Linked DNA regions of Drosophila melanogaster. The protein of the gene in region 1 binds, or shares a complex with, the protein of each later gene. Each region holds a gene or a part of one and is shown on either strand. Other genes may lie near its edges.

Evidence for each region.
Region 2: ttm2 (region 1) and Tim17b1 share a complex: the UniProt entries of both Drosophila melanogaster proteins name them as parts of the TIM23 complex.
Region 3: ttm2 (region 1) and Tim17a2 share a complex: the UniProt entries of both Drosophila melanogaster proteins name them as parts of the TIM23 complex.

Annotation. Positions count from the first base shown.
Region 1 is NT_037436.4:272,590-282,451, forward strand, and holds ttm2 (tiny tim 2), read left to right. Parts: upstream 1-2,565; 5' UTR 2,566-2,748; coding exon 2,749-3,978; 3' UTR 3,979-4,078; downstream 4,079-9,862. Other genes in the region: CG32845 (uncharacterized protein), read right to left, coding at 1-781; miple2 (midkine and pleiotrophin 2), read left to right, coding at 976-1,441, 1,515-1,661, 2,006-2,218, 2,278-2,300; RhoGEF3 (Rho guanine nucleotide exchange factor 3), read left to right, coding at 5,611-5,742, 5,812-8,467, 8,532-9,145, 9,498-9,862. UniProt on the Drosophila melanogaster protein: Essential component of the TIM23 complex, a complex that mediates the translocation of transit peptide-containing proteins across the mitochondrial inner membrane.
Region 2 is NT_033777.3:5,295,167-5,304,451, reverse strand, and holds Tim17b1 (Tim17b1), read right to left. Parts: upstream 4,308-9,285; 5' UTR 4,261-4,307; coding exon 3,939-4,260; intron 3,748-3,938; coding exon 3,551-3,747; intron 3,485-3,550; coding exon 3,464-3,484; 3' UTR 3,266-3,463; downstream 1-3,265. Other genes in the region: mtd (mustard), read left to right, coding at 270-341, 4,879-4,982, 5,963-6,250, 7,817-8,305, 8,489-8,595, 8,657-8,811. UniProt on the Drosophila melanogaster protein: Essential component of the TIM23 complex, a complex that mediates the translocation of transit peptide-containing proteins across the mitochondrial inner membrane.
Region 3 is NT_033777.3:5,255,644-5,268,571, reverse strand, and holds Tim17a2 (Tim17a2), read left to right. Parts: upstream 1-5,879; 5' UTR 5,880-6,046; intron 6,047-9,412; 5' UTR 9,413-9,426; coding exon 9,427-10,101; 3' UTR 10,102-10,236; downstream 10,237-12,928. Other genes in the region: Hph (HIF prolyl hydroxylase), read right to left, coding at 732-1,110, 1,170-1,309, 1,371-1,451, 1,540-1,819, 10,451-11,007; Enoph (Enolase-phosphatase), read left to right, coding at 11,969-12,324, 12,634-12,890. UniProt on the Drosophila melanogaster protein: Essential component of the TIM23 complex, a complex that mediates the translocation of transit peptide-containing proteins across the mitochondrial inner membrane.

The DNA.
Region 1 (9,862 bases):
TTTCGTTTGCAATAAATATTTTTTTAAGACGTCTGCGTCTGTTCTTTGTGCTGTAATTAATGTAGTTAATCGGGGTGCGCAACAAGATGTGATAACCTGCTTTCGTCTGAAAAATCTCAGATAGTTCGCCATCTTTCAGCAACAAAATGTTTCTCTCAAAGACGAAAGGCGTTTGTGTAAGACTCAAGGGGCCCAAGTCACCGCCATGCCGGGCAGAGCAGCAATCGGAGATCATATTTGCCAATTCAGCAAACTCAAATTTGCCTGATTGAATTAGATCCCTCGCATGCATGATCTTATTTAGCGCTTCCTGCTTAGTTCTCCTTACCATCCGTTCGCGATATGAACTACACCTGTCCGATTCGCTGTGCTTCACCAGGATGTGTCTGCAGCGGAGCTGGTCATTGAAGTCAGAGTAGTCTCCAAGAATGGCGCCCCAGGCATTCCTATCCTTTTCTCGGTGGTGGCTTGGAGGCAGTGTGAAGTGTACCTTTCTGGTAATTGTGTCGTAGAAATAGCACTCCTTGGTACTGTGAGCTATGCGCTCTTCCCATCCAAAGGGCAGCTTGTTTGGCCTTTCGGAAGTACGTTCTTCAGTTAGGTTCGATAGCCCACTGTCCCCATCACCATAGGAGGCGCTTTTCACGTTAACACTCGAATATACGCTTTTAGAGCTCGCGTCAAAGCAACCCCAAGAGTGGTCACAAATCTGATCTCCATTTTTGCCATCTTCTTTTTTAAATATATCAAACTTGCATAGCGCCGGATTCTTGGAGTTCATTTTTGCACAAACTAGACGGTGTAGGTATTTATGTGACAAGTGTAGGTACTGAATAGGTTACTGCTTTGAACCAAAGTCTTAAAGAAAAATAAAGCAATGCATTCTTGTTTGTTTTACAGCTCGGCTTTAAAGCATATATTTTTAATTATATTTTATTTTCATGACTTTATTGTTTTTAGGTTTCCGAAATAGTTATGAATCTTATACTGGCTTTAACCACGGCTCTGCACCTAGTTTTGGTGGTATTGGCGCACAATCCGCTATCAACTCGTGGCGAAAGCCTTTCTGATGGCATACGTCTGGTCATGGAAAAGAGGTCGGGCGATGTGGTACACATTCGTCCAGCTCGGGGCACACTGGAGGCCGAAACAGTCGCATCCACAACAAATAGTGACACCCACCGCACCAGGAACAATCGTAAGCCGAACAAGCCTCAAGAGCACTCTCAGCAGGTTGGGGCCCACAAGTCGGGATCTAGAAAACTAGTGGTTGCGGAAAATGGCGGGGCACTGTCATCACAACTACCACAACCAAATCACAAGCAAGGCCACAAGAACACTGATAAGCAACAACGAGGAGGGGGATCCAAGCAGCAGCGAGGACATAGCCAACATCATGGAGGAAATAGGAAAGGGCCTAAGGCAGCGACTCCAGAGAATGGTAAGCCTTAGGACTGCCACGTCAGAATTCAAATAGTTTTTAAATGCAAAGTCTTATATTTGCTTGTTAACAGGATCGACTTGCCGATACGCAAAGAGCGCTTGGTCCAATTGTGATCACAAGACCAACATGCGTTCACGAGTCCTGTCCCTAAGGAAAGGAGAGCAAAACTGCTTGCCCACGCGGACCATACAAAAGAAGTGCAAGAAAGGTGCGCGCGGTAACTTCTATATGTATCATAATCCTACACAGCGCCTCCCCAAAAGGGGAACGTAGTAGAATCGGGCATTCCCATAAAAGAGCAAGGCGGTGTCATTGCCGGCTTAATGGGTCCAAAGGTCACAAAATGCAAAAATCACTCTTGTTGACCCATATACAAGAATGCTTCCTTCTGGGGAGGATTGTGCTCTCTTCGACCCACTTCGAGGTTCTCCCCGCCACAGCTTCGTTTCGTTTCCTAGGAAATACTGCAGTTCCTGTTCCTAACAATGCAGCGAGTGCATCCTTCATAATAGCAAATACTTTCCAAAATTAATTTGAAATTTTGCGTACTTCCTTCGGTAGGCTGCCGCTATGAAAAGGGTGAATGGTCTCAATGCGTCGGAGGACAAATAACCAGAGAGGATAAGTTGGAACCAGAGGCAACTGGCGGTAGTGATCAAAACTGCAATCCTGTGCGTACCGTCAGCAAGAAGTGTAAAGCAAATGGCAATTCCAGTGGAGGAAAACAACACGGCCAGAGTCGTCGAACAAAAGAGCAAAAGCAAAAGGATAAGGGTAAAAGTGGTGAATTTGACCCCTTTGTGAAAAGTTTGATCCAAATTCTCTGTTTACAGGAGCCAGTCACATTTCGTCTTGATAATGAAAATTATTTATTTTATACGTATACGGAAGCAACATTTTTAATATTAAATAAGCGATTTTTAAATGCTAGCCCGTACGGACTACTTGAACAACAATAAAGAATTGGCCTTCTTAGGGCTAAATGAAAGCACTCTTTTAGAAATTCTTGAAACAAGGCTTTCACAAACCCCAATACCGCGAAAACCTGCACAAAATGAGACCTGTTATTGAGTAATCAAAGAGCATTGATAGAACTGTTAGTTGGCTCTGAGTTTTTATTTAATATTAGACGCGACAGTAAAATAACCGTCTGCGACAAAATTTAATTAACATTACACAAAAGAAAACGTTACCTCTAACTCGGCTTGGTAATATAAAGATGTTAAATTTAATAGTGTTTCTTTACTTAACTGCAAGCCCCCTTTAAATTGATCGATCTTTCGAGGCAAATCTTCAAGTTACCAATGTCTTTAATAGCCATTGAAAGGGTGTTATGTGGCTGGCCCAAGATTTGCCGCAAACTTATTGTAACGTCGCGGTCGCTGACCTCCGGCTTGCGGCGGGCACTGGTCAAGCAGCCCCGTAAAGGCGGAGATGTTGGAAAACCCGGAATGGAGCTTGGGCGCTGTTCGTGCTTTGGACTCCGTGTGAACCTCAGCAATGCATCCGTCGTATACGTTGGCCACCGACGCTACTCGACGTACGAGAAGACGTCTACGCAAATTTTAACGAAGCTCTTTCCACAAACCTCTGAGGAGTCCAACGACGAGGAAAGTCGTGAGCGGCGGAAACTTGAGGAGGAGGAGGAGCAGAAGGAATTGGAGCGGGCATTTAGGCGGATGAAACTGGGCTTTGGGCTTTTCGGCATAGGTAGCATGTTGTTCTCGTTTTGGGCTATATATTTCTATGGAAGGCCGTCCTTGGATGAGCACGGAAATGAAGTAATCGACGAATTTAGTTGTCTGCCACAGATGCAGCAGCTTATGTGGCGGACATGGAAGTCGGTGAACCGCTTTCAACGGTTTTTCAAAGAGCCGTCGAGAAAAAAGCTGCTTCCTGATCCCCTTCAGCCCCCCTACGTGCAGCCGCCGTATACTTTGGTACTTGAGATTAAGGATGTGCTGGTACATCCCGATTGGACCTACGAAACAGGATGGCGCTTCAAGAAGCGCCCTGGCGTTGACGTGTTTTTGAAAGAATGTGCCAAGTATTTTGAGATTGTTGTTTACACGGCGGAGCAAGGAGTTACTGTGTTCCCGCTGGTCGACGCGCTTGATCCGAACGGCTGTATTATGTATCGCCTGGTTCGCGACTCTACGCACTTTGATGGAGGGCACCACGTGAAGAACCTTGACAACCTCAACCGAGACCTAAAGCGAGTGGTTGTCGTGGACTGGGATAGAAATTCCACCAAGTTTCACCCTTCGAATTCATTCTCGATCCCGCGGTGGTCTGGAAACGACAATGACACTACCCTCTTTGAACTCACGTCGTTTCTTAGTGTTCTAGGAACGAGTGAGATCGACGATGTCCGAGAAGTGCTGCAATACTACAATCAGTTTAGTGACTCGTTATCCCAGTTCAGAGAAAACCAGCGAAAGCTGGGTGAGCTAATGCACGCCGAGGAGGTAGAAAAAACTAGCAAGTCTAGGCCCGTTGTCAAGAACTGGACCCGTGGCTTCATAAATCATTAAAAAGATTGTGCGTTTGATGTGTCCCTTAAATACTGTTAATTCACCCAAAAAATTACATTAAAACTTTCCTAGCATTCTTCAATGTCTACCTACTAACAGCAGTTACTTTTGCAGTTTTTTGCGTATTCTGATTGAAAAAGTCTGAAAACATATGATTTCTGATTTGGCATTTAAAGCAGACTGCCCTGCGGAACGTCAATGCTTCCTTGAAGGTAACAGTGCAGCCACTAGGCGGATACATAGCCGTAATGTTGTGAAAAATGTTGTGTTACGGTTTTATATGAATGCAGGCTTCCAGAAATCCTCAGTCCAGCACGAGCACGCAAGCTCAGCAACATGTTGCTGCCATGTGATGGTGTGCGTGAGCACGTGCCAAAATAACTACGACACATGTGTACTCTTGAGGGAATGTTTCCACAATCAACAACTACGCACTTCACACCACTAGGTGAGTCATGCGCAGTATCGTCCCTGCGAACATTCATCCGAATGTTGGCATAAGTAAGTAAAGGGATCAGGTGTACTGTAAGCCTTCCGTCTAGTTACTTTCGATGCAGATTTTGATTCTGGCTGAGGGTTCGTGGCTGGCTGGGCCTCTTCTCCTTATGTTGAAAACACACAACAATTCGGTGGTGGAAGTATACTGCGGACGTCAAACTGGCGAGCCAGGGCGCAGGCGTTGGTTCATTTGGCACTTTGTCTGGTACTCTCCCACATCGGCATCCTGCAATCTCTTTGGCTCAGCATCCTTGTAAGCTGTTGTCGGAGCAATCTGGGCATGGGGCAACTGAAAGGAAAGCAACTTTCCCATTCAGGAGCGCACAAGCCGCAGGAATCGCGAGCGCAGACAATTCAGTTCGGCTTTAACGTAATGGACGGAAGGTTTGAATATCGCTTCTCGCCCCAGTTGTACAGATAAAGTCCCACTGCACGCAATAGGGCACTTGGAAGATACAATAGAACGCCGAGCAGTGTGTGTATATAGGTTTGAATGCTTACGATTGGGAATAAGTGGCAAAATATTGCAACTATGACCTAAACGCAAGGCAGTTAATAACTTCGCCAGCTTTTGGCCAGATTCGTGACACACTTAACTTGAAACTTCAATGCTAGTGGGATGGATATCTACTCTCAAGCCGTGTTTTAATGCCCCAAGGATTCCGCTTTCTTGCCACAGACAATGAGCAGGTGCGTGTGCAGTTAAACTAATAAAATTGTAGTGGACCCACCCGACCCACATATTTTGCCTATTTGCTCCTATTTGTGTTTTTTTTGGTTACCTATGCATATGTTATGCATATGTATGCTCAACAAACCATGTGGAAATTGCCGATGGGAAGCTTTAGACTAAATGCATTGACTGCGTATCCTTCACTGCCACACCCTAAAGTGACTATGCTATCACTCACTCGCAGGGGGAAATGACCCACAATCATAACAATAAAGATACAGATGAGAGCCCACATGTACATATTTTATGGAATGACTGATAACCAATGTATTTAGAATGCATGACACACTTTGAATTAAGTGCTGTAGTTAAGTCACACATGGCACTGCACTATCTGCAGATTTCAGCCAAATTGGCCATTTAAAATCTTATTTTCTAGATTTGCATGTAATCTATAAATAATGGCAACTGAAACCTTTTTGGATCTGAATTATGAGAGGGGCAAGGTGTCGAAGAGGTCACTGCGACCAAAGCTATTAAAATTGACAGATGTGACGATACCACATCGAAGTCGGAAGAAAAACAAAGTTAAGGTGAGTTGCGAGTTGTGAGAGGGAAAGAACATTTGAGCAACTAGATCTTAAAGCGCTGTTTGTTTTCAGACCAAAGACCGATCAGCCACATCCGTGCGCGACAGGATCTATGATGATCCTGCCTACACAGAGGACATAAGCCACTTGGCGAATCCCATGCGTCGCAGTAGCATTTCTGGGAAATCCTTCTTGGAACACAAGACGAGGTCAGATACGGGCGGTCAGGCATCATCCAGCAGCCTACTGGCCAAAAACCAGCTGCCCCAGGAGCTGCATCAGTATGTGTCAGGGAAGCAGGCCAAGATCAAACAACACCACACAGCCACAATAGCTTCCGGTAGCACCGCCATCAGCATAAACTACGAATGTGATTCGAGCAGCACCGACAACGAGGTCCAGGAACCAATCCAAACCAAAGGTGGTATGAACCGCAGGGTGCGCAGCCTAGAGCGCAATCTGGCCGCCACAGGCTCCGAAAGGGCCGAAAAGAAGGGAACTCAGAAGCGCACCTCGAAACAAAAGCGGAATCTTAGCTTAGACAACAATCGCCATCAGCCCGCAGGACATCCGAAGCGGGAGGCGGTAGCTGTAGCTAAGGTCGGTCACGATGCTGACACACGAGCCCGCAAAGAGCGAAATCGGAAGCCCTACGGCGAGATGGGTCCGGATGGTGGTGTCCCGACCGAGGTCAGTGAGTTAGATGACGGGTACTCTGCTCGCGGTTCCGCTCAGAGTTCCGCCTGCACCTTACCAGCAGAATCAGCCGCCGACGCGGCGAAAGTTGCTATCGGCAAACGGTTCCTGCGCGGCGAGATTGGAATTAAAAGCTTTAACTACTATCTGCTAAAGGAGGGCTTAAAGAGCTCGAAAAAACTAGTGGACCAACAGCGAACCCCAGCTGGCAGTGGCAGTGTGGAGTCACCTCTGAAGGCCGAAAAACGACATTGCCGCAGCGAGGAAAACATCTACGAGGAGATCTTCTTTAAGGACACGGCCAACGCGGTGAGCTCGTCGGCAACAGGAGTAGCCACCGGCATGGCGATGCCCGTTGCCCTGACAATGTGTGATCAAGAGACGCACAGCCTGGAAAAAGGAGCTCAGCCGCATGGAATAGGCGCCACCAATCCCGCATTTGCAGACTGCGAGTTTTGTATGGAGCAATGCAGCAAGGAAAACTGTGAATATTGCTTGGCCCACGTTGAACAAGTAGCAAGTAAAAAACTGAAGGCGGGGCAAACACAGGAAGAGCAGTACCTCAACCAAGGACATAGGAAAAACCACACTATGGATTCGCGGCCTAGTGCTCCGGTGGTCGAGGTGCCGACCGCCCATATACTAGAGTTCCAGTCGTACAACCCAAATAATCCAGGCGTTTACAAAATTGAGACGACTCCAGTGGCCATAACAGGAGACTACAACCCGATTCTACAATTTCAGCAGTCTTCTGCTACTACATCGACCTCAGCTACCACCACGCCAAGTGAACCCCAGATTTATGGTGGATACTACCTGCCCCATGCGAACCAGAGGCCATACCACTCGCCAACTGTTAACAGCCAGCTGCCAAATCACTACGCCGTGGGTGGCAGTCTGCTCTTGGCCCAGGTTACGGGGGCCACTCAAGGGTCCGCCACGCCGCCTCGGCGACCCCAGCAGCACTTTATAGTGGGATATCAGAACGGAGGAGGTATGTCCGCAGGTGCGGCTTCCTTACAGCGCTTTAACACGAAGTCCTCGTCCTCGAGCGACTCGCTTCCCTATCACAAATATAATACCATGGCGCGACTGGAGGCAAATGTGCTAGCAGCTCCTGCCACTGGGGATCTTTACTATGCGGTCAGTGGGACGCAGCCACTGCATCCGCTTATGTATGCTGCCAATAGACCCATTGGAGGATCCCAGATACTGGTGGATCCCTACGATCCGCAGATGTACAAGAGCGACTCAAAGGCATCAATTCTGAGCGAGTTCTCCCTTCGCAGCAGCGACAACTCGCAACGCTACGCTCGGCATCCTCATCGGCGACATGGCGGGCGCGTCAGTGATTCCAGTCTGTTTTCAGTGTACTCAAACTCTGGCCAAAGGCGGTACTTTGGAAGCTCGGAAGGCAGGTTCGGATACGATTGTAGACGCTGCAGTCTGGATGGCGTCATTGGAATGAGTACTGCGACTGGAGGGTCTATGATGGCTCCCGATAAGTGCAGCTACTCGGACAACTGCCGGTTCGAGTGCCGAAACTGCGACTGCTCGTCAAATTACTTTAGCTCAGACTTTGATGATGTTTACGGATCAATAGCGCGAGGAGGAAGCAGCGGAATCCCGCGAAAAACTGCAGCAGGGACACTGCCATCAAGCGCACAAGACGATCAAGTTGAGCGATTGGAAGCCCCACCAGCGTCGATGGAGCAGCAGCAGTACGCAGACCTAAAACAGAACAAGTACGCCCAAGATTTCTTTAAGCATGTTAACGACGTAAAACGTAGCATTTACCAGTCGGAAATGAAGAGAAACAATAGCTTGGAGTCCTCAAGGAGTGGTCCAAGAGCTGGCGGCAGCACAAAAAGCAATGTCAAAGCAAGTCCCAAGCGGGCCGCCTCACAGGAAACTAGATTAGTAACTACTCTTCCGCTAAGCAGGAGTCGGCTTTCTGCCGGCGTAAAGCCGACACCTGCACCAAGGACCAGTCTCCAGACACCGACTCCTTTGCCGGAGACTACCGTCGCAAGTAAGTACAACCGATGTGGGATTCTATTGTATAGCATTGTAAATAACCCTGGAATTATTCATAGAAGATCCCACGCCTAGTAAGCGAAAAAGTCAACCAACTGTCCGGAGAGAGTATCCTTCCTTGGACAGGCTCGTTGCGTCTACCACGGGCACCATTCCGAAGAAGAACAGCAGGAACATAACAGCGGCCAGCTTACAAAGCCCGAAGCTGACGCAAAAAACTAGATCAGAGGCTCCCGAAAAGAAGGTTGCACCTGAAGATCAGTTGCCGCTGCCTCCGTCCGGCAAACGACACCATCGCACAGGCGCATCGAAGACAAATACAAACGCTCCCTGTTCCAGCCTACGCAGGAAAGACATTCCGGCTCCACCTCCGCCTTCCCCCGCTACATATTCCGACCTCCAGGAGCTAAAGGCCAATATGGAGGGTTTTCGAGACGATACTAAGTCACGAAGCTTGGAGTACGACACTAACGATCTTACGGCTGACGATAATTCCAATAAAACTCAGAAAAAAAGTCTCAGCGGACCACCGAATCCAATGACGGAAGCCCCAATTGGAGCCACTGATGCAGGTGCAGTGGAGACTGACGACAACGACGTCTTCTATGATGCACGCAGCGAGGATTCTGGCGGTGGTATCTTGCCCTCGAATACCAGTGATATATCGAAAATGGTGAGTGCTTTGCTATTGGTAGCAGAATTTTGGAATCGTGTAATGTGAAATACAAGCCCTTATTTGAGTAGCCCGACTAGTAGCTATGACAATTAATACAAATTACTATTGTAGATATATATTATTTTTATTACTTCAAATTTTGGCTATTTGTAAAATCGATTTTCCAAAGCCTACATTTGTTTGAAAGACGAACTTTTAAAAGTACAGAACACCGAAATTTGCCAACTCAGTTACAGCCTGAACATAGATTAATAGTTGTTAGAAATAATTGGACGGGGAGCATTGATAATGAAAAGGGGCCGAGTTGAAATAAACATGAATAAGATTTCAATTAAACGATTTTTTACAGAGTCCATCCCACATGGCGACATTCACACGGGCGGCAACTAACGAAAATCGCAAAGGCGCCTTTGACAACGAAAAGGAGCACTCTGCCGAGGATGATGATTCTCCGTCTCCCGCCGCCCCTGCGCCAGAGGGGCGTGAGCAGGCGTCCTCCATCACGGGCAGACCGAAAGGGAATGGCAACAGTAAAATAACCACAACCCCAAGCTGTGAGCTCGGGAGCTCGGCCGAAGCGGAAAGCAAGCTGGACTCCGCCGCACTCTGTCGACCCCGACCACGACCTCGCCAAGCGTCTCCCCACCTCCCGCCCGAATGCACGGACACTGGGGGGGCTGGTGACGAACAGGCAAGCAAAACAAAACACGAAAA
Region 2 (9,285 bases), on another chromosome or scaffold:
CGGGATCGGGATCGTTGAGTTCCCAACGGTACGTGTGCATTCCGTAAATTGGCATTTGTTAAACCCGCGCGATTAGGCGAGATACACTTAACGAGTTTCGCTGCAGCGTGTATTTTGAATTTACCATTTCGTAATTACACATTTTTATTTACCTTATTGTTTCTCCGTTTATTTCTTTGGACCTCCCGTTTTGTTTTGGCACACTTTGCCGTTTAATTGGTTTTGTTCGCCTGCCCCGATGTGCTCCTTATGATTTGCGAACGTGCCAGGTCACGTAGGGCTAGTCAAGATGTTTCCAGTTTGTCACGCAGCGTTGACAATTTGGCGATACCCGTGCGCAGGTAAGTTGCAACTAACACCTAACTATTCCGCCTAAGTCCACCCAACTACCTCCCACCACCGCCTCCCTCACCAAAACACCCGTCCATTCAAATGCAAATGAGCCAGAGTACATAGCATGTGCATATGTACATATGTATTGTAGAAAGAGCCTGTGACGCACCTGCATGACATAACTATAAAGCCACCTTATGCTATGTGTATCTATGTATCTATGTTGCATGTTGTGCATGTGCATGGCCCGACTTAAGTCTAACCCACATTTGATAACCCATTCGTAGATCTAAGAAATAACGATAAATTTGACTTCCAGCGAATTGTGACCATAACCATTGCCGCATTAAATTATTTTTGCGGTCTGTAAATAAGCCGGGCAAAAAACTAAATCTAAATCGAAATCGAAAACGGCAGGCCGCAAATATTGATAATTTATAAGGCGAGAGCGACCAGTGTTCAAATTATAGATTGTTTATAGATTATCTTAATGTTCGCTGTCGTCTTATTAACGAATTCTGATAATATATAAGTCGCGTATAAGCGTAAATAAATGGCTGATGTTCAAGTGATGTCAGATTGATGTTCACAGATTAAATCGGCGGTTTGAGGGGTGTGAGATAAGGCAGTTTCGAAGGCAGTCGAAGTGAGAGTATGTGTTCCATTGTGATAATAAATAGATTTGCTAGGATGCGAATACTCCAGGCCTATCCCAAGAAGAGGTCGCAACCTTTTGGTGAGTCACGTGGAACATAAGAAAGTACAATCTCTTTATTTTCAATTTTACATATGCAATAATCACCAATATTGCACATTATGTGTGCGTGCATCGCACATTACGTATACGTAGCGAAAACTGAGTCACTCGCTCAGTTCACTTCGGCTTGTCTGCCATTCTGCCATTCTGCCATTCGATGCGTAATGTAAGCACTGTGGGTAACACCCCCGTGGGTTGTTGACACACAGTTGGCTCGGTGGAACTGTGCCAGTAAAATGCTACTGCTACTTTTGTTTTTTCGGTGCTCATGCCACTGATCGTAGCCCAGGGCCACATTCCCGAAGGTAAACAATGCACAAGAGCGATAAGATATTTGTATGTACCTATGTACGTATGAATGTACGTATGAGCCAGCGATCGAGCCCTGAATGACTTCCATTCGGCTTTCAATTGCTCAAGAGCCTCTGGCCAAATGTGACTCGTCGCATTGCGGATACTTCTGGAGATACTTGTGGTATGGAGAACATCAGGGGATTAGTAAGGGCAACTATATATACATATGATGAATAAGATGTTTCATTTTATCCTCTATTTTGTGTGTCCAACTGGTTAATGCGGAAGCGTGTCTATAGCAGTTAAACTACTGGCTGGCAATTAGTTACAGTGATTAGCACAGTTAGAGGTTGGGAATTGCTCAGTGACACAACATGAAAAAGATGTCTTAACCTATAATCATTCTTTACACTATACGAGTATAAGTATAAGATAGTCGCTGAAATATGAATAGTACATATTTGTTGAGAATTAGTTGTTGGAAAAAGAAGAAGCAATTTTAATCTGTTAGAAATGTTAGCTTATTCGAAATATTTGACCTTCTTGGCAGAAAAATAGAAGAATGCGAAAAATAAATTCACGGCCTCCGAACATAATATTTGTGTCATTTACAATTATTTAATAATTATTCATGTTTGCTTGCCGAACAAAGACAAAATATGTACCTATCCATTTCATTTGAGCGCGAAAGCCAACTGTGCAAATGGATTCCATTGCCATTTCGCCGTCTGAACTCAATAACTCGGAACGTGGTCGTCATCAAATGTGGCCAACTTAAATCAAACACAGTTGTTTCAACCAGGCTCTTGTTTTTGCAATGGTTTTCCACGCGAAAAGGCCTAGAAAACGGCGAGCACGAAAGGTTTTTTCAGCTGCGCAGCCAGGCACTTGAAGACTTTCCATGGAAAATTCTCATTGGCGAACGGGGGTAAATATGGCTATGAATTAAAAATGGGAAAGGCAAATAGCTGATGGCGACAAATATGCGTTAAATAATTATTTAGTATTTGCTGCCGCCGCTGTTTATTTGCGAACAAAGGCACTTTGCATGCGCCTGCTGCCAGCTGAAAACTCCAGTCCGCAATTATTCTACGCGCTCGCGTATTTATTTTTTATCATTGATATTCAATTATGGTTATCGCCAATTGCGCTAATTGGCAACGCAGTGAAAAGACACGCGCAAATAAACTTTTATTATTTTCAGGGGGAAGCCAAAGAGGGGTTCCTTGATCGACAGAAAGAGGCTTTCATATACTCAAGCTTATGAATAGCCCCCTCCTGACGATTCGGGTACTTGGTTGTCACATTCACATTGTCACGGTGATACAACTATCTGGGCAGAGGAAACCCTATTTTCCCGCCCGAAATCGTAACGGAAATTAGTTTTGCCAATCAAACGGGAACGCAATAATAGGGAAAACTGCTCTTATGTGAGTGCAGAAAGAGGAATGTAGTGCAGAAGAGATGTTTTAATAAAGATAAGCACTAGCAACCTTTTAAAAAAAAGGAACGATTCAAAGTGTAACTTAAGAAAATCTAATGATATATAGTAGAGTACCCTTGATTTAGCTAGTGAGAAACTTCAATATGTTGTTGGCATATCGATTGAAGTAGCAGACAAAAACAAAATAAATAAAATCCATTTGTCTGTTACACACTTTTCTAGGAATCTAGTAGAATCCACTGACTCCACGGGTGCAGAAACAAGCATTATAAAGTGGAATATTTAGGCTTAGATATATTAAGGTTCGAGTTTCTGGCTTGATCAAAGGAGTTTTGTAGGAGGAAACCCCAAATAAGTTTGGAATTTCAAGTATGGAGCTTTGAAGCACACGCGCCTCCCAAAAAGCCACCACACTTCGGCTGGACTTCAGACTGTCTATATAAATATGCCGAAGCAAAATATATTTATGATTCTAAAACTTGCACTGTACGACAATTGAATTTAAATTGAAATGGGAATGCCGCCAGTATCAGATTCGAACAATCAAAGCAATCTTTTATAAATTGGTATGCAATCGTCGATCCACGCGTTCGCGGATGGATAGCGACGACTAGGCGATGACGCAGCGAAGAATTCTACAATGCCGAAGAGTCAATCTGGAATTAAAGAGTGTGAGTGGCGGAATTATTGAGGCGTATTATTGCGCAGGGGATTTCACTTACCTCTCCATAAGTCGCTGCGAGTGGAGAAACGCCCTTTTGCTGCCGTAAAAGCTCCTGCTTATACCGTTGCTGCCGCTCCACGGGCGACACCTGGCGGTAGGAATCCGCCGAATAATGGGACACCACAATGCCCACGCCCTCTATTAGGGCCAATAGAGCCCCGCCCACCAAGGCACTACTGAGCATGGAGGTTAGTCCTGCCAAAAAGAGGAATAAGCAAAAAAGTAAATATTCGCATATTCGTGCGATAATAGCCATAAAGTTAAGCAGAAAGAAAAACAAGGCAAAAAGGATATAAGGATATAAAAGTCCTGAGAAAGCATTGAAAACCAGCCTGGTTTACTAATTGTTAATGCATTTGTCTGAAAAAAAAAACTTTAAAACTCACCAGTTCTAGCAGCAAGAATGCCCCCGGTGGTTGCTCCACTAATTATGGCGTTCCACGGGTCCTCCTTCTTCCGGAAGTAAACCAGTGAGCAGTCGATGGCGCTGAAGGTAGCGCCCCACACCGCAAAGTTACCACCCACCAGGCCGGATCGAGCCCGTACCGCCGCCAATCCTCCGCTCAATCGGTATCCCAGGCCGGAGGGGGCGTTTCGAAAGCCCTTGATCGCCTGGAAGGCTCCTCCGCCCAAGGCGCCCATTGCGAAGGCTCCACCACAATCCTCGACAATGCGAAAGGGACAAGGCTCCCGACCGTACTCCGCCATGTCAGTTGATTATCGGACTCAGGAGAGTTCAGTCGATAAAATTGATGGGGTGACAGACACACACAGCAGAATAGATGGACAAGTCAAAGCCTCCTTGAGAGCGATTTTCAATTCAAAGTTTCATTAAAAAACTTTTAAAGCAAATAGAAAAAATTACATTTTAAAATTAGAATCAGTAATTAGAAGCACTCGACACGTGTGTTATTCCTTACAAATTACTTATACTTCATACTTTTCCGATTTAATTCTATCGAACACCTAAGGACAAGTCACATGAAAATCGTGACTTCTCGCCAATTGTTTAAAGGCTGATCTAACAAAAAACAAAACAGATCAAAAACCGTTTAAAAAAACATTTAAAATGCGTCGTTTTGCCGTATTTGGACACTCGCTGATCGTCAAGATAATCATTACAAAACGATAGCAATTGCACAACAAAAAGGTTGAATAAAAAAGGCAAACGGGCTGCCAATAAATAAATTGTTATTACCCGGTTATGGTCACAATTCGAGCTGGAAATTTGTAAGTGATAAGGATCGCAACAGATTGCGCTCCGATCGCTACAAGCCCAAATATTCCATTCCCAACCGATTTACAACCACTCTCCCACTTTTCCAGGAGCAAATCGCGCAGCGTGGATCACGGCCTTGCGGCTCCATTCGACTTGGACTCGCTCCGCTCCAAAGTGGAGCAGCGCTTCGAGAGCGTCGACAAATTATCAAGTAAGTCACTATTCAAATAAGTATAATTTAATTAGACAGACTTAAACCGATGGAGAATCTTTGGTTAGGGCAGCAGATGGATGCAGAATTATATGAAAATCATTTTGTATTTCTCAAAACAAATACTTATTTCGGGAAGGATCCTTGCTGAACCCCGGCTTAAGCCCCCTGTATCCACTCACTTTCAATTAAAATAGTTCAATTTAAACTTATATGTAATATGAATGTAAAATTTGTGTAGAACTCGTAGGTTCCTCAAGTCAACGCTAGGGTATTCTGCCGCCAGGTGTCGCTCATGCTCACACTCTATGTAAAATCGATGTATTATTAGAAAAGTGTACATATTGAATCAAATCAGCTAGCAAAAAGGGTGTTTTTTTTTTTAATTCTACAGTATTCCGATTCCGATATATCAGAACAGATTGTACTTTGCGCGTTACATTCAATTTTAGTGCCTAAACCAGAGGCATTCTTAACATAATCATAAAATAATTTTCATTAAAAAAAAAAACATACTTACTTACTGGCATTAGTTTGAAGTTGATTCAGGGAATTGTGCGCCAACCGGGGGGTACCTATAAACAAATTCTTATCGCACCTCCCGTTTGAAAGTGCGCGCCAAAGCTAACAGCGCTGATAGTTGATTACATGTATGAATGTAATTGTGACAGTTCGAGAAAACTGATGAGCCCGCAGTTTTAACGATACAAAAAAACCGTATGATACAGGGCTAGAAATGGTGGAATTGATTGAGATATACTGGCACATGCCAACCAACGAGTTCTCGGTTATCTACCACTGCCGGCAGCAGGTTCCGCCCACAGGTGTGATCTGCTCGCACTTGCGACCCGATGGCGACTCTTTCGAGGTCTTCCAGCAGCGTGCCCCGAAGAAGCACGATCCTCCGAGTAAAGAACTGCGAGCACGTACCTCCAGCGATACGATGCCATTATTAATTATGATTTCTTTTCGTTCCGCAGGGCAAAAGTCTTCATTGCCCACCATACCCACCATTTCCTACACCGTGGGCAATCGCGACACCCTGACCTCCGTGGCCGCCCGGTTCGACACCACGCCCTCGGAGCTGACCCACCTCAACCGGCTGAACAGCTCCTTCATCTATCCGGGCCAGCAGCTGCTGGTGCCGGACAAGAGCGCCAAGGACGACGCCTCCAGCAGCTCCACCCACGACGCGGACGGTGCCAGCCTGTCCGGCAAATCGAGTCCGGTCGAGCGCAAGTTGTCCGGCGACGAGAGCCGCGAGAAAGGTAAGAACGGAAGCCAACCCAGGCGCTGCTCCGTGGAAATGGTGCAATTGGTGCGACGATAGTGAAGCGTTTGCCATCATCGCCGCTTGAGATTTTCATTTTCACGAGCTTTTTACATGCATGTGCCAACATTTTTTGAGAAACTCCGTATTGCGTTCTTCCATCGCTTTTTGGGTCGCATTTACTAGAGAAGTCCAAACATTTGCATACTATCATATATCCAGATGCGCAATTAACTGTACATATCGCTTATTTGATTTTAGTTTTTTTTTTAATTAGTTCTTCTTAATAATGTTTTGTTAGCAACTGCGAAAAGCGGCTATGTTTATTACATTGTAAAAACTAAACTAATTTGGAAAACTATTGAACATTTGAAGCCCTCAAAAATGTTTAGTATATAAATTGATATATAATTGCTATAATTACAAGAAGAAGTTAGTCTCAGGGCTAGCTTTAACTTTAAAGTAACTTTATTCAGCTATTTAATACAGAAAAGGTATGTGCATATGTTAATTGATTAATTTCAGATGGCAAATTAATGTTTGGCCACATTTTGTAATAACTTTAAGATTTTTGGCGCCACTTCTTCCACAAACAGCATTGCAGTTTCATGAATAACCTTACTTTAGACGAGAACTTTTTAGTATATTCCATTACTATGAGGTATATATAAACAACCGAGCTGCGGTCACACTGCTGGCCAATGTTGACTGTTTCATAGAACGTGTTTTTCCGCTGTTTCTCACTTTAAAAAGGCTATAAAATCGAATCGGTCGAGTGCCGAAAGCCACGTACTGAGAGCCGGATAATCCACGACGTAGAGTGCGCCCGGACGTACTCGATATTCTAAGTTTCAGCATGCACACGGCTGTCTTCTGGCGCAATGGAGGTTATTGTTTGATTTTCTACCTTTGTTGTCGCTCCGATCTGTGAAAAAGTGCTAATTGCGGTTGACAAACTCCTGGCCTTGAAGGTCCAGATATTCCGGAAAGTATAACCTTCGGTCAAGCAAGGGTCTCGTTGTCCATGTCCCAGGAAACCGAATCTCGGTTATGGATGATAAAGAAGTTGCACTAATAGATTCAAAAGGCATCATAACTATTGTAGTTTCGAGCTAGAAACTAGAAATTACACTGTTAAATTTAAAACTTACTACCACCCAGTTAGTCGGAACTATTAAAAAGCCCTTTTCGAAAGTCGTATAATGTATAACATTTCTTCCCATCCCATGACCCTATGCAAAAGCTACACCCTTTAGGCAATATCTTTACGACATCACCTTACACGCCGAACTACCTAGGAAAAGCGCTATAATGCCGTTCCCATTCACTGGTCGTAACACCTAGAACAACAAAGGGGGTCACAAGGCGTAGATTTAGTTTAAACTATCCCATATATCAATTTTGCTTTCACAATCTTATCGCGGCCACGGGTGTAGTTGATAAAATCACAGCCCAGCAAAATAGTACCCGAAAATCACTTGCCCCTAATATAATATAATAACTAAATGGCGTTTTTGCAGCCACCTAGCCAGCAAAGATATTAACCAAATGCCGCTCCTTGCAGACATACTCGAGGGCCTGCGCCCCGGATCCCCAAAACCGGGACACATCGAGCGCGTGGGCGGCAGTAGCCAGCAGCAGCAGGCGGAGGAGGAGGCCAACAAAAGCGACGATCCGGTGATCACACAGCGCTTCCTCAAGATCAATGTGCGCCACATCACGGACGGACAGGGCGTGGTGGGCGGCGTCCTGCTGGTCACGCCCAACGCCGTTATGTTCGATCCCAACGTCAGCGATCCCCTGGTCATCGAGCACGGCCCGGAGAGCTACGGCGTCATTGCGCCCATGGAGCTGGTGGTCAACGCCGCCATCTTCCACGACATTGCGCACATGCGAGTGGCCGGAGGAGCAGGTCAGGGCCTGAACTCCGCCTCGGGAGACGCGGAGAAACCGGAAATCTACTATCCCAAACCAGTATTAGTCGAAGAAGACTCCAAGGAGCTACCCGAGCAGCAGTCGCTGCTGGGCGAAGACGGTAATAAGCGCTTAGATGGTAAGTTCCTCGACGGGTCATTCCTGAAATCAAGTTTCTGTAACTCCTACATAAAATCGTTGAAGATGATTAACTGCTTAGCTTGCCTAAGATCGTTCGGAAGCAGAAGTATAGAAACAGTGATAAAATTTCCTTTTTCAGAAGAAATTCGCTTACTAATGCTATTTTCTTATCTAACAACAGCAGAAATAGGGTCGCTGGAAATCGCTGACGACCAAGAGTCGCTTTGCTCCAGCACTGGACGCGATGGCGACGCGTTTCCCAAAGCCTTCGACCGCGAACGTGTGGAGGTAAGTCATTTTTATCATATTACTCCTGTGTCCCAACTTATTGCTCTTTCATTTTCTACAGGACTCTTCTATGGAAGCCAAAGATAGCGCTAAGACTGACGCTCTAGACGATGAAGACAAGAAGGCCGGCCTGGGCCTCTCCAGCACTCGCTCCACCCTCGAGGAGCGGCGCAAGAGTTTGTTGGATCACCACTGGGCCATTCCGAGCAAAGACCGGTTAGTGTTTGCCCAGCTGCCTCACGCTTGTGTTCACACATTCTCCAGGCATTTTTGTTTGTTGATCCATTTTAAGATGTTTTTTCTCACTTCGCAAAAAATGTACATTTTTTGTATAATTGTACTTTTGATTTTTGAAGAACGTATTATAATGTTCGATTTTAAGTAGTTAACATAATGTAAGTAATTTGTTTACCATTCGTATTTTTACCATAAACATTATTATTAGATAATTTGGTTTACCTAATCGAAATGGCAAAGTTTAATCGCGAAATTATAAATTGATTAATTTCATACATCGTATCCATAATACCTTTTGATGGAAATGCGATTTGAATCTGTTTTCTGTTCTGTTCATGATTGCCATAAAACTCATTAATTTGATAACTCAGGACTATAAACGCATTTCTAAATCAATGAAATCGATAGCTATATATAATCGAGAATATATTATCTCAAGTAGACTTCATGAAG
Region 3 (12,928 bases), on another chromosome or scaffold:
TAAAATATTAGTATCTTTAAGCTCTGTACCAAATAGAACCACTTATAAAATCCATCTCTCTACAACCACGTAGACAAATGTAGGCCACACGTGGTTCATCAGCTCAGGCTTTTGTTTAATATAAAAAATATACATACAATATGTAGATATGTCATAAATATACATACTTCATGATTTACAGATAACAAGAGAACGTATTTGGACAAACATTTATTTCCGTTTGTTATTAGATGTAAACGATATGAAAAAGATGTCTAACAAGATGCATGAGAGTCGACAGATTGAGTGTTAGCCAGTGACCGCGTTTGTCCACGATTTACTGGCTTGTTAAATAATTTTGAGATAAGATGCAATGAGCGTCGCGACAGTTGCTTATGTTATTGAATCTAGTTAACTTCTCTTTAGGTATAATACTTTGGCAGCCAAAAACTAAGAATGAGCTAGGCAAAAGGTCCTGACAAAGATGCAACAAACTAAAATTAATAAACAACCAACTCGGACGCTGACATGGCAGTAAGCTAATGGTTAATGCGAAAATGACTAAGGGTACGACTTAGAGACTAAACTAGAAGGCTTAACGACTAAAGGAGCTTTGATTAACTTTCGCAATGCGGGCTTGCGCTGCCGCCCCTCCGAAGCTATAAATAGTTTTTAACTAGCTTTATACATGTGTGTTTGGTTGAAAATAATTTACACTTTTTGGTTGCCTTTAGCTGCGCTGTCGGCTTGGGTTACGTGCATATTTCGCTGCTGGTGGCGCAGGAATTACTCGACACATTGGCGTTCAGCGCTCCCGTTCCCGTGGACATGCTAACCGGCAGACTGGATGCGGATGAAGCTGGTGCTGCGGGTGGTGTGGTGGTGGAGTCTGGTTCAGCCTGTTGGGCTTGGGCTTGAGCTGCCAGATTGTTCGTCTTGCTGTTTTCCAGCTTGGCCCTAATGAGGGCCTCCTCGCGTTCCTTGGCATCGAAGTACCAGACGGTGATGGCATAGCGGGTACGGTGAGCGGGCTGCACTTCGTGGGGATTCCGAATGTCAGACCAGAAGAATATCAGGCGATCAAACTTGGGCTCAATATCCGCCACTGTGGTTCCGGGTGTTGGCCGAATTCTGTTTGTTGATTAAAGTTAGGTTGATTTTCATATCACAGGTATATTTATTACACCTACCGCAGAATGCCGCCACTTTCCCGCGCATCCCAGTTGATATTCAGGTAGTATATGGCCGTTATAACGCGGCCATCCTTTTGGGGATTGTCCACATGCATGACGTAGTGAGTTCCCGATCCCGGATAACAAGCGACCATTGCCTAAGATTAAGGAATCATATTTTAGCATAATCTCAAAGGTATTTTCACAGCATATGCTTACCCTCGTGCGCTCCCTGATGTGGTAGTTGCCCAAGATGCCATTATCCTTCATCGTGTTAACACGATACACCACAGAGTCAATCTGAAAGGTAAAATTAGATTATACTTCTTAACTTAAGTAAGCAAGTAGTTTAGGGACCATAAAAGTATTTCTTTTGTACGTTGCTCACCTGATTGGTCAGATACCAGACATTGCTGCAGCCCGGCTCATTGCCACCAACCCACTTGATCTTATCGCCTCGGATCTTGTCACCGCGCACCGCGGGTGCATCGGGCGTCTGGTTGGTCACCACTTGGCCATCCTGGAAGGCTCCTGCGTTGTACATGCTTCGAACCTCGTTGAGGATCTTCAGGCCCGTCTCCATCCCCAGGAAGTCGTCCACCACGGACAGACCATACTGGTTCATGTCGCTGATGATGTTACGGCACAGATCCTCATAGCGGCGCTCACTGCGGAAAATCAGAAGGGAAACAAAGATCTTATGTTAATTACGTTCCCTTTTAGTAGAGAGACGAAGAGAAAAAGTATATAGACCTTTCAAGACCGTTAATCTGTAACTGAATTAGAGATACCGATGTGAGTGAGGTCACCTTGGGGAAACCCCTGCATCTAATTAATGTTCACGCTTTTCCTTGCTATTTTTAGCACAAAAGTTCGATTGCGCTTAAGCTTTTTTACAGGCGTTTGAGCAACGGGTACTGCGATGCATACAATTTTACGACTTTTTTATGATGCGCCCATAAAACAAATATTTTCATACATGTCGGTGGTTCCCAGTCACGTAGGCCACCCAGAACTCAACTGGCCCAGATGATCGCGAAATTCCGGATAAGCAACGCAAAGCAACACATTGCGAAAAATATGAAACAGAGATGAAACATTTCGCACAAGTTCACATGCGCCATTCAAAGTCATAAAGTCAAATGGTTGTCGCAAAAATACAAATATTACTGAAACGTGCCACGCTGTTGATCGAATTCCCAGAATGGGATGGGGAGAACTATCTGCACGCAACGCAGGAAAGCAAATTCGCTACCGCCAACACATTAATATACGAATTCAAAATCAGCGGCTGTCTAAATATTACGATACACGAAAGACGACATTGACGACCACAAACCAAAACTGTTAACCGGTTTTATTGACATTCGCATAGCCCAAGTTAATGCAAACCATAATTAACAGATTATAAGAGGTGTGAAATCCAGAAGAGAAAATAGTTAATACTCAGCCCGAGAAACAACTATTCTAAAAAAACGAATCCAACACCTAAAATGATGTTCATTGTTGAAAAAGTTTAAAGGAATTTTAAAAAGTAGAATGAGATTTGTATTGTAATAGCAACATCGTTTTCAAAAGCCCCTTAGCTTAAAAACTCTTTTTAAAATTGAAACTTAAAGTTAATTCGGGGAAATTAGATTAGATACCTAAGGGCAATAAATATTTATATCCTTCACTGTCATGTGGACACTCTTAATTCTCTCCTTAGGAGGTTTCCTTAATTATAGCCTCATTTTACATTTGTTCCTTAGGAACTTTAATTCAGTAATTAAAATATCATTACCGCTTGTCCAAAAGTTCCCGAAAGTACTGCTCAGCATTGGCAGGATGTGCCGAGTGTTTAAAAAAGTTTTTGTAGTCCGTGGTCGTGGAGGTTATCATTTTGCCTTGATTAGTCAGCTTGCTTCTCACTGTTATCACAAGAACTCTATTACTCTTGAGACAGCTTTAAGACTGAAGTCCTATCTTTGTATCTCCACAGAGTTATTAGTTGTTGTTGTGCAGAGAAAGGGTGAATTAAGTTCTTGGCATTTGAATTGTTTCAGGATCCTTTTTTAGATACCCTGAATTGGTTAATTACTGTTCTTGGGAGATGACGGGTTCTCAAACGACTCCTCCAGAATTTCACGTGCAACTGAAGGGAGTTTATAATTTGCAGCGAGTTTTATGCGAAGGGGAGCCTCGAATTTTAGAGGGAAAGAGTGCGAGTTATACGTACACCGGCGGTTATATTATATGGTATATAGGTGCAAATGTGTTGGTGGGGAGGTACGTATTATTGCAGTTTGCATTTGTTGGGGCCGGCTGCCTATATATTTCACTTTTCGCTTTGTTTCACTGGCAGATGTTTGTTTTGATTTGACTTTGTTTATGCACAGTTAGTCACGTTTGTGTATTACTCAGCTTCGGTTAACTAATTTAAGTGAAATGTGAAGCAGCTGAACCGAACCGCACTCGTCGCCGTTCGTTTTCCGAATGCGGCAGCTGAGCAGGTCGCTCTCGCTCTTTACCGTTGGTTACGAAGGAGAGAGAGGCAGAGCGTTTTAAGAGCAGGTGAAAACAATCTAGCTATTTTATGGCCAAAAACTAGATTATGAGTGCTCGAATTCTGGTGTGTTAGTCGAACATGTGTTAACGTTTATAAATTAAATGGACATCTACGAGCAATACTTGAGGCATTTAAACCCCAGTTCAAAATTGGCTAAGGTGAACTGTACGTCTATCCCGGATTCGGAATACAATCGTTTAATACGATAACATCAAGATCGTAGAAAAGGTTTAGTTTGGACTACAAATTGTAGTTCGTTTGCTGTAACCAAATTTTTCTAGCTATTTTCTGTCCGCCTCCCAAATCCGTTCATCACTATCTCAGAGCGTCCATGAAACTACGAGTAAATCAGAAAGTTGGGGGCCTGGGAAGCAGCTAAATAATCGAAGGAGAAGCAGCCGCTTAAGGCGATAAGCAGCACCTTGGTAGGTGAGAGCAAATAATGAAAAATACGTACATATTGGTAAAAGGTAAAAGGCAGCTGCAGATAGCGAAAAACCGAACTGAACGTGCAATTTATGGGATCGGATACCCCGCAAGGTTCCAGAAAGCGGGAGGAAGCTACTCGTTCCGCTTGCCCTTCAAGAGAGTTTAAACACTCTCTGCCAAGCCAAACCAATTGCAAACGTAAAAGCGGGGAAAAGCGGAGGCAAACAGTAAGGCAGAAAGACAAGCGCAACAATCGTCACGTAGCCCAGCACACACACCAATGCGCAATTGGCACACGCACATGCGAGCGACCCATACAAACGCAAAGAAGCCACACGCACAGGCGTTAATGCGAGAGCCAAGTGAGTCAGAAAGAGATGGTCGCCAGCGAAGGGAGTGTGAGAAGGTCAGCGATAATGTAGATATTTAAAATGTTTGATACAAATATCTGCTAAAAATGCTTAAGAAACACTAACGAAGATGAGGCACAGAACGGCGGAAGCACGCGGAAGCTAGGCGAATGTGCGAACCAAAGAATTGGGTCAACGGCCCAGTTCAAAGTCGCCGCCAAACAACGTGCACGCAGAGAAATCGGGGAGACCTTTTAAAGCGCCATTAAAATAAAGAAATATCCCAGAAATCTGCCCAACATTCTGTAACCAAGATATATAATATATATAATAATATAATATATATATATAATAAATAAATCAGTCATAAAATTGGTAACGAAAAATATCAAAAGTATCTTATGGAATAGGAATAAAGATTATTCTATCTTCTGTCCTGTCTATACATTATTTATTATTTGGTAATACCCTTGGGCTAACAATAATAATAAGTCCCACACAACCCAGTTTCGAAGCAAAATGGCCACTAAACTGAACTGATTTCTTTTAGTGCAAACACGTTTTCGTGTACATTGTAATGATCGATTGGCGCCCTTTTTGTCTGTGATGTATTACGTGCGACAACGGCGACTGCGGCACGTGTACCACACCAACTCGCAGCCCTTTTGGTGGGCGGAGAAGCACCTGGGAGAGGGGCGTGGCGACGCACACGCACTGAGTGGCAGTCGACCTTGGTGACGTGCGTCTGCCTACGTAGCTCGCTCGGGCTCGCACTGGGTTCGAGATCCATCACTGGGAATCCATCACACAGCTGAAGGAGACCACAGACATGGGTTTACACCCAATTGGAAGTGGATAACATAAATAGAAAAGGGGAACCTTTAAGGAAATCCCTAGGAAATTTACGAATATTTTTAAACTAAATACCATTGCAATAGTTTTATATTTCTAATGTTTCCAATGGTTGCATAGTTCACATCGCAAGATATTCGATCTAAATAAACTTTATTTGATTTAAACTGGAAAGCACTTTCTCTGCTTTCAAAACTACATTTAGACATTCAAGTTCGGAAATGAAAAAAAATGAGGTGAGCAACGCTAAGGTGAATGCATTCTGGCTGAATCTTAGGCAAATCAAAAAGTAGCAGAGCAAACTATCCGCGAATGGATTGATTCCATATTGACTTTTCCTATCAATATTGCTGATTCAAATTGGAATTCGGTGGCGACAAGATGCGGTTTTTTCGACTTTTTCTGTTCATCGAGTTTTGCGCAACCGTATTGTTTGTTTTTCCCAGCAAGTTGCTTGACACATGTATTTTAGCACATTTCTAAACAATGACGGAATTTTGCAAGCCCCTGGAAATGAGATCACGTCGGTCCGACTGCGCTAATTGTTTGATAAAGAACAACACATCCCGCCGCAGATTGAAATCTCGGAGCTAAGGCATTCGCTAAACTCTGATAACACGATTTGAACGATACGCTTGCGTATTCCCGGCACGTAGGCAAAACGCTCCGGACCTCCCGGCCGAACGGACCACCCACCCACTTCGGGCGATAAGAAGGTAGAAAATACTGCACCTGACAAAATCGATTTGCAACAGTAACATAGAAAAATGAAGGCTTTTATTTGTGTATCCAAGTAAAAAGAAAATATCATAACTATCGGGTGGGAAGTTATCTGAATTAGTTCATATGTTGCACTTATTAGCTACAACTGCACATCCAGGAACACAAAATAATTTACTGCACAGTGTGGGGTTGATGATGACTCAGCCGGATTGGCTGAAAGATAAAATTACGAACAAATTTCTATATGTGCTCCGATGTGTGCGGTTCATGTTTGTTGTATTCGTTAATGCCGGGGTGCAAAGCAAAATAAATAAGCGAGTATTAAAGATTTGGACGCAACAAACTGCGCAACAGAATAATTACAAAGTCAGCACCTCCGCCCGGAAGAATGCGAGTCCGGCTGCGATTGCAGGTGCTATCAGATCGGGCATGGGTGCCATATACACTATGCGGCCGGGCACGTAATGCCGAAGGTAAATAAATACTCGACTCGAGAGGTGCCATCTCGGAGCAGAATGTTAGCAATCCGGAGACAGTCAAATCGCAGGGCAATTACGAATCTCATCTGACAATGCGATGAGTTGAATGGGAAAACAAACTGTTTCTATTTTTAAACTTTTACGTCTGAGAATATCGGACAGCCTATGTAGTACGTGCAGACATCAATCTAAAACCAACACCAAGTGTTTGTCTCCTAAAGAGTCCTTTCCTGGTTCCCCATTGGATTGGAAGCTTTACCTTGAACACCTGTAATATTATATCATATGATTTGTGTATACTTTAACAGCAGCAGTTCCAAAATGAGCCATGGTTTGGCTAATACAATTATACTAATTCACCCAAGCGATCTAAGATGATCTAGCAGTGCTATTCAATGTTTTGATTTGTGTTATAGGACCTTTTGCGAGGTAACTAGTATAAGCTGTATATCAACAACCAATAAATCAGCTGCGAAGAAGCTTGAGGATCGCGAAAACCATAAACTTCAGCGCCATATGAGCGATATGTCATCAGCTGTGTCATGTTCTGCTGTTGATTCGTGAGGCTTCTCAGGAGTGGGCACGTAACCGCTTATCGTAATTGACTTGATGTGCAAGTGAAGACGATAGGGGGCTACGAGCAGGAGGATGCACCTAGTGGGGTATATTTGGGGCTATAGATTTCGCTCCGGGACAAACTGCAAACGCAACTTCAAGTGTGCGGTCGGCTAGCTAATCGCGGTGCTTGGTTCAGTTACATTTAATAACTAGTTATCAGGTGAAATCATGGCTAATCAAATTCAAGATAAGCTTGCACCAAAACGTAGAAAATCTATTCTACCGAGTCATTTGGATGTTTTCAATAAGATATTGAAAATAACTCATCAATATCTGAGTGGCATTTTTCTTGTACAAGTTTTTGCTCGATCTATGTACGTTGTCAAGAAACTGTTTACACACTGTGAAATAAGTTGAATTTTTGACTTTAAAGCTAAAAATTAAGGGTTTTTTGCTTAATTAAACGAAATTTTTTTAAATAATATAATTAAACAATATTTATTTTATTTATAAATCAAAAAACAAATTCAAAATATTAAATATACAAGAAAATAAACAACGAATTCCAAGTTTACACACTTTTAAGACTGTCAAGAAACTCTTTACACATTTTGTTTTCCTACTTTGTTTTGTTCTTTTTCTTAGAACGAACTCGATTTTTCCGTTATTTTTGGCTTTGCATTGCTTTTTACAACGCTTCTATTGAAATTTGTTGACTTTGCTTGTGAAATTTTGCTGATCAAACGTGCTTAAAGCGAATTATTAAATTTAATAAAATGCCTGGAAAGAGATTAACTTTTGAAGTTACCCAATTAATAAACTATAACCACCAGTTGGAAAAATCTTTTCCAGAATTAGTATAAATGTTTCCTGTATCCCGTAAGACCGTCTACAATGTTTTAAAAGGCTCGGAAAAAGAGGGCAGGCTTGAACCTAAGAGTGGTGGTGGGCGGAAAATTAAAATTAAAAAGCGTGTAGACTGCTTTATTATGCGAATAGTGATTGCGAACCCCCGAATCTCGGTCAGATCACTTGCTCTAGATATCAGGCAAGAATGTCACCTAGCTGTGTCACACGAAACTGTGCGCCAAGTCATCCTACGCCATAGGTACTCTTCAAGAGTTGCAAGGAAAAACCCTTTGCTATCAGATGCCAATATTGAAAAGCGTCATTTATTCGCAGTGAGCATGATGGATCATGCGGAAGAGTACTGGGATGACGTCATATTTGGTGACGAAACAAAAATGATGCTCTTTTATAACGACGGGCCAAGCAGAGTATGGCGCAAACCGTTGAGTGCGCTAGAAAAACAAAATATCATTCCAACGATAAAATTTGGAAAAATGTCACTGTTGGTTTGGGGCTGTATCACCAGCCGTAGAGTGGGAAAACTAGCCTTAATTGAGGGCACAATAATTGCCGTGCAATATCTAGGAATTTTAAAAAACAAATTTGAAGGCCAGTGCAGAAAAATTTGATCTAGTTAGCAACAACAAGCCAAATTTTATATTTTAAGAGGACATGATCAGAAACATAAAGAGTGCAATGTACGCACCTGGCGCCCTTATAACTGTGGTAAAGTGATCGATACGCCCCCTCAGAGTCCTGATCTGAACCCCATTGAAAATTTGTGGACCTACTTAAAGAAGAAGGTGGCAAAAAGGAACCTAAAACACAACAACAGCTTATGACTGTAATAGTCGAAGAGTGTGAAAAGATCCCGTTTGAATATGACCTGCAAAAACTTGTCCAATCCATGAAAAAAGGGCTTCAACTTGTAGCTAAAGCCAATGGGGAACATACTACATACCAAAACTTTTAAAATTTTAATAAAATAATTTAAAAATTTAGGATTAAACATCGATTTAGTGTTTTGTGTAAAGAGTTTCTTGACAGTCTCAAAAGTGTTTAAACTTGGAATTTGTTGTTTTTTTTCTTGTATATTTAATATTTTTAATTTGTTTTTTGATTTATAAGTAAAATAAATATTGTTTAATTATATTTTATAAAAAAAATGCGTTTAATTAAGCAAAAAACCTTTAATTTTTAGCTTTAAAGTCAAAAATTCAACTTATTTCACAGTGTGTAAACAGTTTCTTGACAAACTGTATATTTCGTTTGTAGGACCATTGGTAAATATTTGTATCTAGTTAGAACGGACGTAAAAGTCGTAAGGCAACATTCTCAAAGTTATGTATAATCTATAAACACACGTTTTTAATCAAAGGCCATATTGGTCAAAAGCTGATAGCACATATTCGCAAAACAAGGAAAGTTCACTACAAATCAAGTTTTGAATTAATTACGGATTCTTTTGGTCAGTACATCACCCGAACATGGAGTACAATCGCCAGCCGTGTCCCATCAGGATTGTAGAGGATTGCGGGTGCGCCTTTATGATGGGCACCATGGGAGGATCGTTGTTTCAGTACCTCAAGGGATTCCGAAACGCTCCGTCCGGTCTTCGACGTGGCTTGCACGGCGGTATAGAATCGGTGAGGTTGCGGACACCGGCCATAGCCGGCAGCTTTGCCATTTGGGGCGCCACCTTCAGCACGGTGGACTGCGTCATGGTCTCGTACCGCCAGAGGGAGGATTCCTGGAACGCGATTGTCAGCGGAGCGGCCACTGGCGGAATTTTAGCCGCCCGGAATGGAATTCGAGCCATGGCCAACAGTGCCTTTGTGGGCTGCCTCGTTTTAGCCATGCTCGAAGGAGCTGGAGCAGCAGTGGCTACGATTTATGCATCGGATGGAGGAGTCAAAGCAGAGGAGTCCCTAATCACTGTTGACCAGCAAATGCAGAGACCCCAGTGGGAGACATCCGTTGCTGATTCGAACCTAACTGGGGCGGAGTTAGAGCGGGTGTTGGATGAATGTCGGGCATACAGGGCACACAACAAGATGCAGCAGCCTATGCGTTCGGACGCAGTGGAGGGTAAGGAACTGGGGCAACTGATGAAGCCAATGCACTCGTTGGTCGATCTGGTAAAGCTGGCCGAAATTGTCTGATAGAAAAGCTTTTAAGGTTTTAAGTCAACCTCCCATGCTTCTTCCAAATTAAGTGTTAATTCGATATTCAGCGTTAATCTTATATTATTTTTAAAAGCCCAGTAGGTACAAGGAATGATTTTCTATCTCATGGAGAATATTTTTCCATCTTCAATAAAAGATCAGCTGATATTTGATTGCATCTAATAAAATACTATGGCACTATGCAGGCTCAAAAGAGCTTCTAAGAAAAATATATCTCTTCTAGCGTGCCACCATGAGCAGTATTATAGTATTATACATTTTTAACTTATGTTTTAGCATAAAACTGTTGAAACTGAAACATCTGACCTGTCCACTGACGACCTACCTTCCTGATCCCATGAAGCTGGCATCCGCCAGACCGATTTGATAGCTGGAGCTCTTTTCGCCATTATGGTGATGATGCTGGTGCTGCTGCTGCCTTTGACCTGTTTCCGTTTCCGCAGCTGCAGCCTTCTCCTGGCTGCCCGGCTGCCCGAGGAGATTCAGCAGGTTGTCTACCTCGGCGGGCCAACTCTGCGCCTGGTGGGCAGGCGTCATCATCTGGGCGGTGGAGCAGTTGGCGCCGGCGCCGCTGCATTCCAGATTGGCAGATGCCACAGCTTGTTGCAGTTGCTGGATCTGCTGCCGCTGCTGCTGCTTATTGTTGTTGCTGCTGTTGAGCTTTTGGCGGGTCAGGAGGCGGCACTCGGTGCGGTGGTCGGGCCAATGGAGATGCTGGTGGGCGGGGGAGCAGTAGTAGACGGCCTTGCACTTGGCGCAGCGCAGTAGTTGCTGCTGAGTGCCGCAGATGGAGCAGCGCGGCGGGTCCATGGCCGATTTGGATGCGGAGTGGGAGCCGGAATGGCTTGCTGAATCCCTGACCTTTCCGCGACCCCTGCTCATTGCATTTTGCGGGAGAGGAGAGCCAAAGGCGACGACCGATTTTAACCTTGACAGCTCTCCCAGCTTTTTTTACCCCACCTCACCTACGCCAACTGAGGCAATCACACACACACACGCTCGCAGATTATGGCTATTTGTTATCAATGCGAATTACGGCACTCGGGCGTTTTAGCCAACATTTCACTTAAGACTGTTTGTGCTTATTTTAATCACGTAGGCCACCGAATTTGCCAAATAAACAAAAAAAAACGCACATACAACGCACACACACAGACGCACGGGCAGCTATATGTGCATTGTTGTTGGTTTTTCCTGCGAGTATTCTCTTTTGTAAGACGTTTTAGGGTTGCAACTTTTAACCCTATTGACTGTTTTATACCCTGCCTTGAGCTCTATTACGCCCCTTGTTTATAAAAACCGCGTAAACTGTGCAAAAAAAGGGAAAAATTCTTAACTCAGCACTAAAATTTCTTTTTGATAGCGATGGGCGTCGACCGATACTTAGCGTGCAGCGATTGACATGTACTCGTTGTACAGCACTATTACCGGCGGGCAGTAGGTATCGATAGCTGAACGAGCCAACGTTAGTGGTGATTATTTTATACTGGCACTTATATACTAACGGTAATCAAAGCTTTTTATTTCGCTATTTTTATTTACTAGCTTTAATATTTAATTGCACAAGATTCGGAAACAAAAAGCTATTGGGAAAATTAACTCAAAGCGGCCATTAACCCCATAAGAATTACTTTAATACAACTTCAGTCGATCGTTTATCAATTAAGCAAGGTCTCTAAGAATGGCAAATACCCTTATCGTCTATTCCAATACATTTATATATATATATTTTAAAGTCGATAGTCGATAGCGCGATGTGCCATCTCCATTATCAAAACTAAACAGATGCTGGGCGGAAAATCAACTGGTTCCTCGTGATAACTTAATCCCACTAATAAGCGCAATGTCGTCCAGTGAACGAGTGGCCAAAGTGGTGCTGGTGGACATCGAGGGCACCACCACTTCGATTAGCTTTGTGCACGATGTCCTGTTTCCCTACGCCAAGCAGAATGTGGAAAAGTTCCTGAGGGATTCGTGGGAAGAAGATGATATAAAGCGTATTGTCCAGGATCTACAGCAAGTGCCCCAGTATGCGGACTACAAGGCCCTGTTAAGTGGTCCACCTACGGAAGTGGATGTAGATCTGATTGCAGGCTTTGTGCGCTATTTAATTGATCAGGATCTGAAGGTCACGCCAATGAAAACGCTGCAGGGCTTGATTTGGGCGCAGGGCTACGCTAATGGAGAGCTGAAGGGCCAGTAAGTTCCCCATTCAATATTCTCCTATCATGGCCATATAAGTTTTACAATCTGAACTCTAGAAGGTTATCAAAGAAAAGGCTTACTTAACGTCTGTTCCCAAAAATAATTTGGGTGTCTTTCTGAGATCCAATTATACAGCTTGGTGATTTTTTAAATATGTATGCTAGCTATATTCTCCGCACGGGAATGTTTAACTTTTGCTGATTTCAATAGTTATCAGATAACATTCAACATAGTAACCAAAAGTACAACGCAACAACTCATTATTATTGATAATTAATTAATTATCTATAAATGTTATTATAGTGTATACGAAGACGTCCCTGCAGCTTTTGAGGCTTGGCGTGCTGCTGGCCTCCAGATTGCAGTCTACTCCAGCGGCAGTGTGGCTGCCCAAAAGCTGATATTCGGTCATAGTTTGGCCGGGAACCTGCAGCCGTACTTGAGTGCTTATTTCGACACCCATGTGGGCCACAAACAGGAACAGCAGTCCTATAAAAACATTGCCAAGCAATTGAAGGAGGACCCGAAGCAGATACTCTTTCTCACGGATATTCCAGGAGGTGAGTGGCTGATCCACACGAATCCTCATCCGTAACAT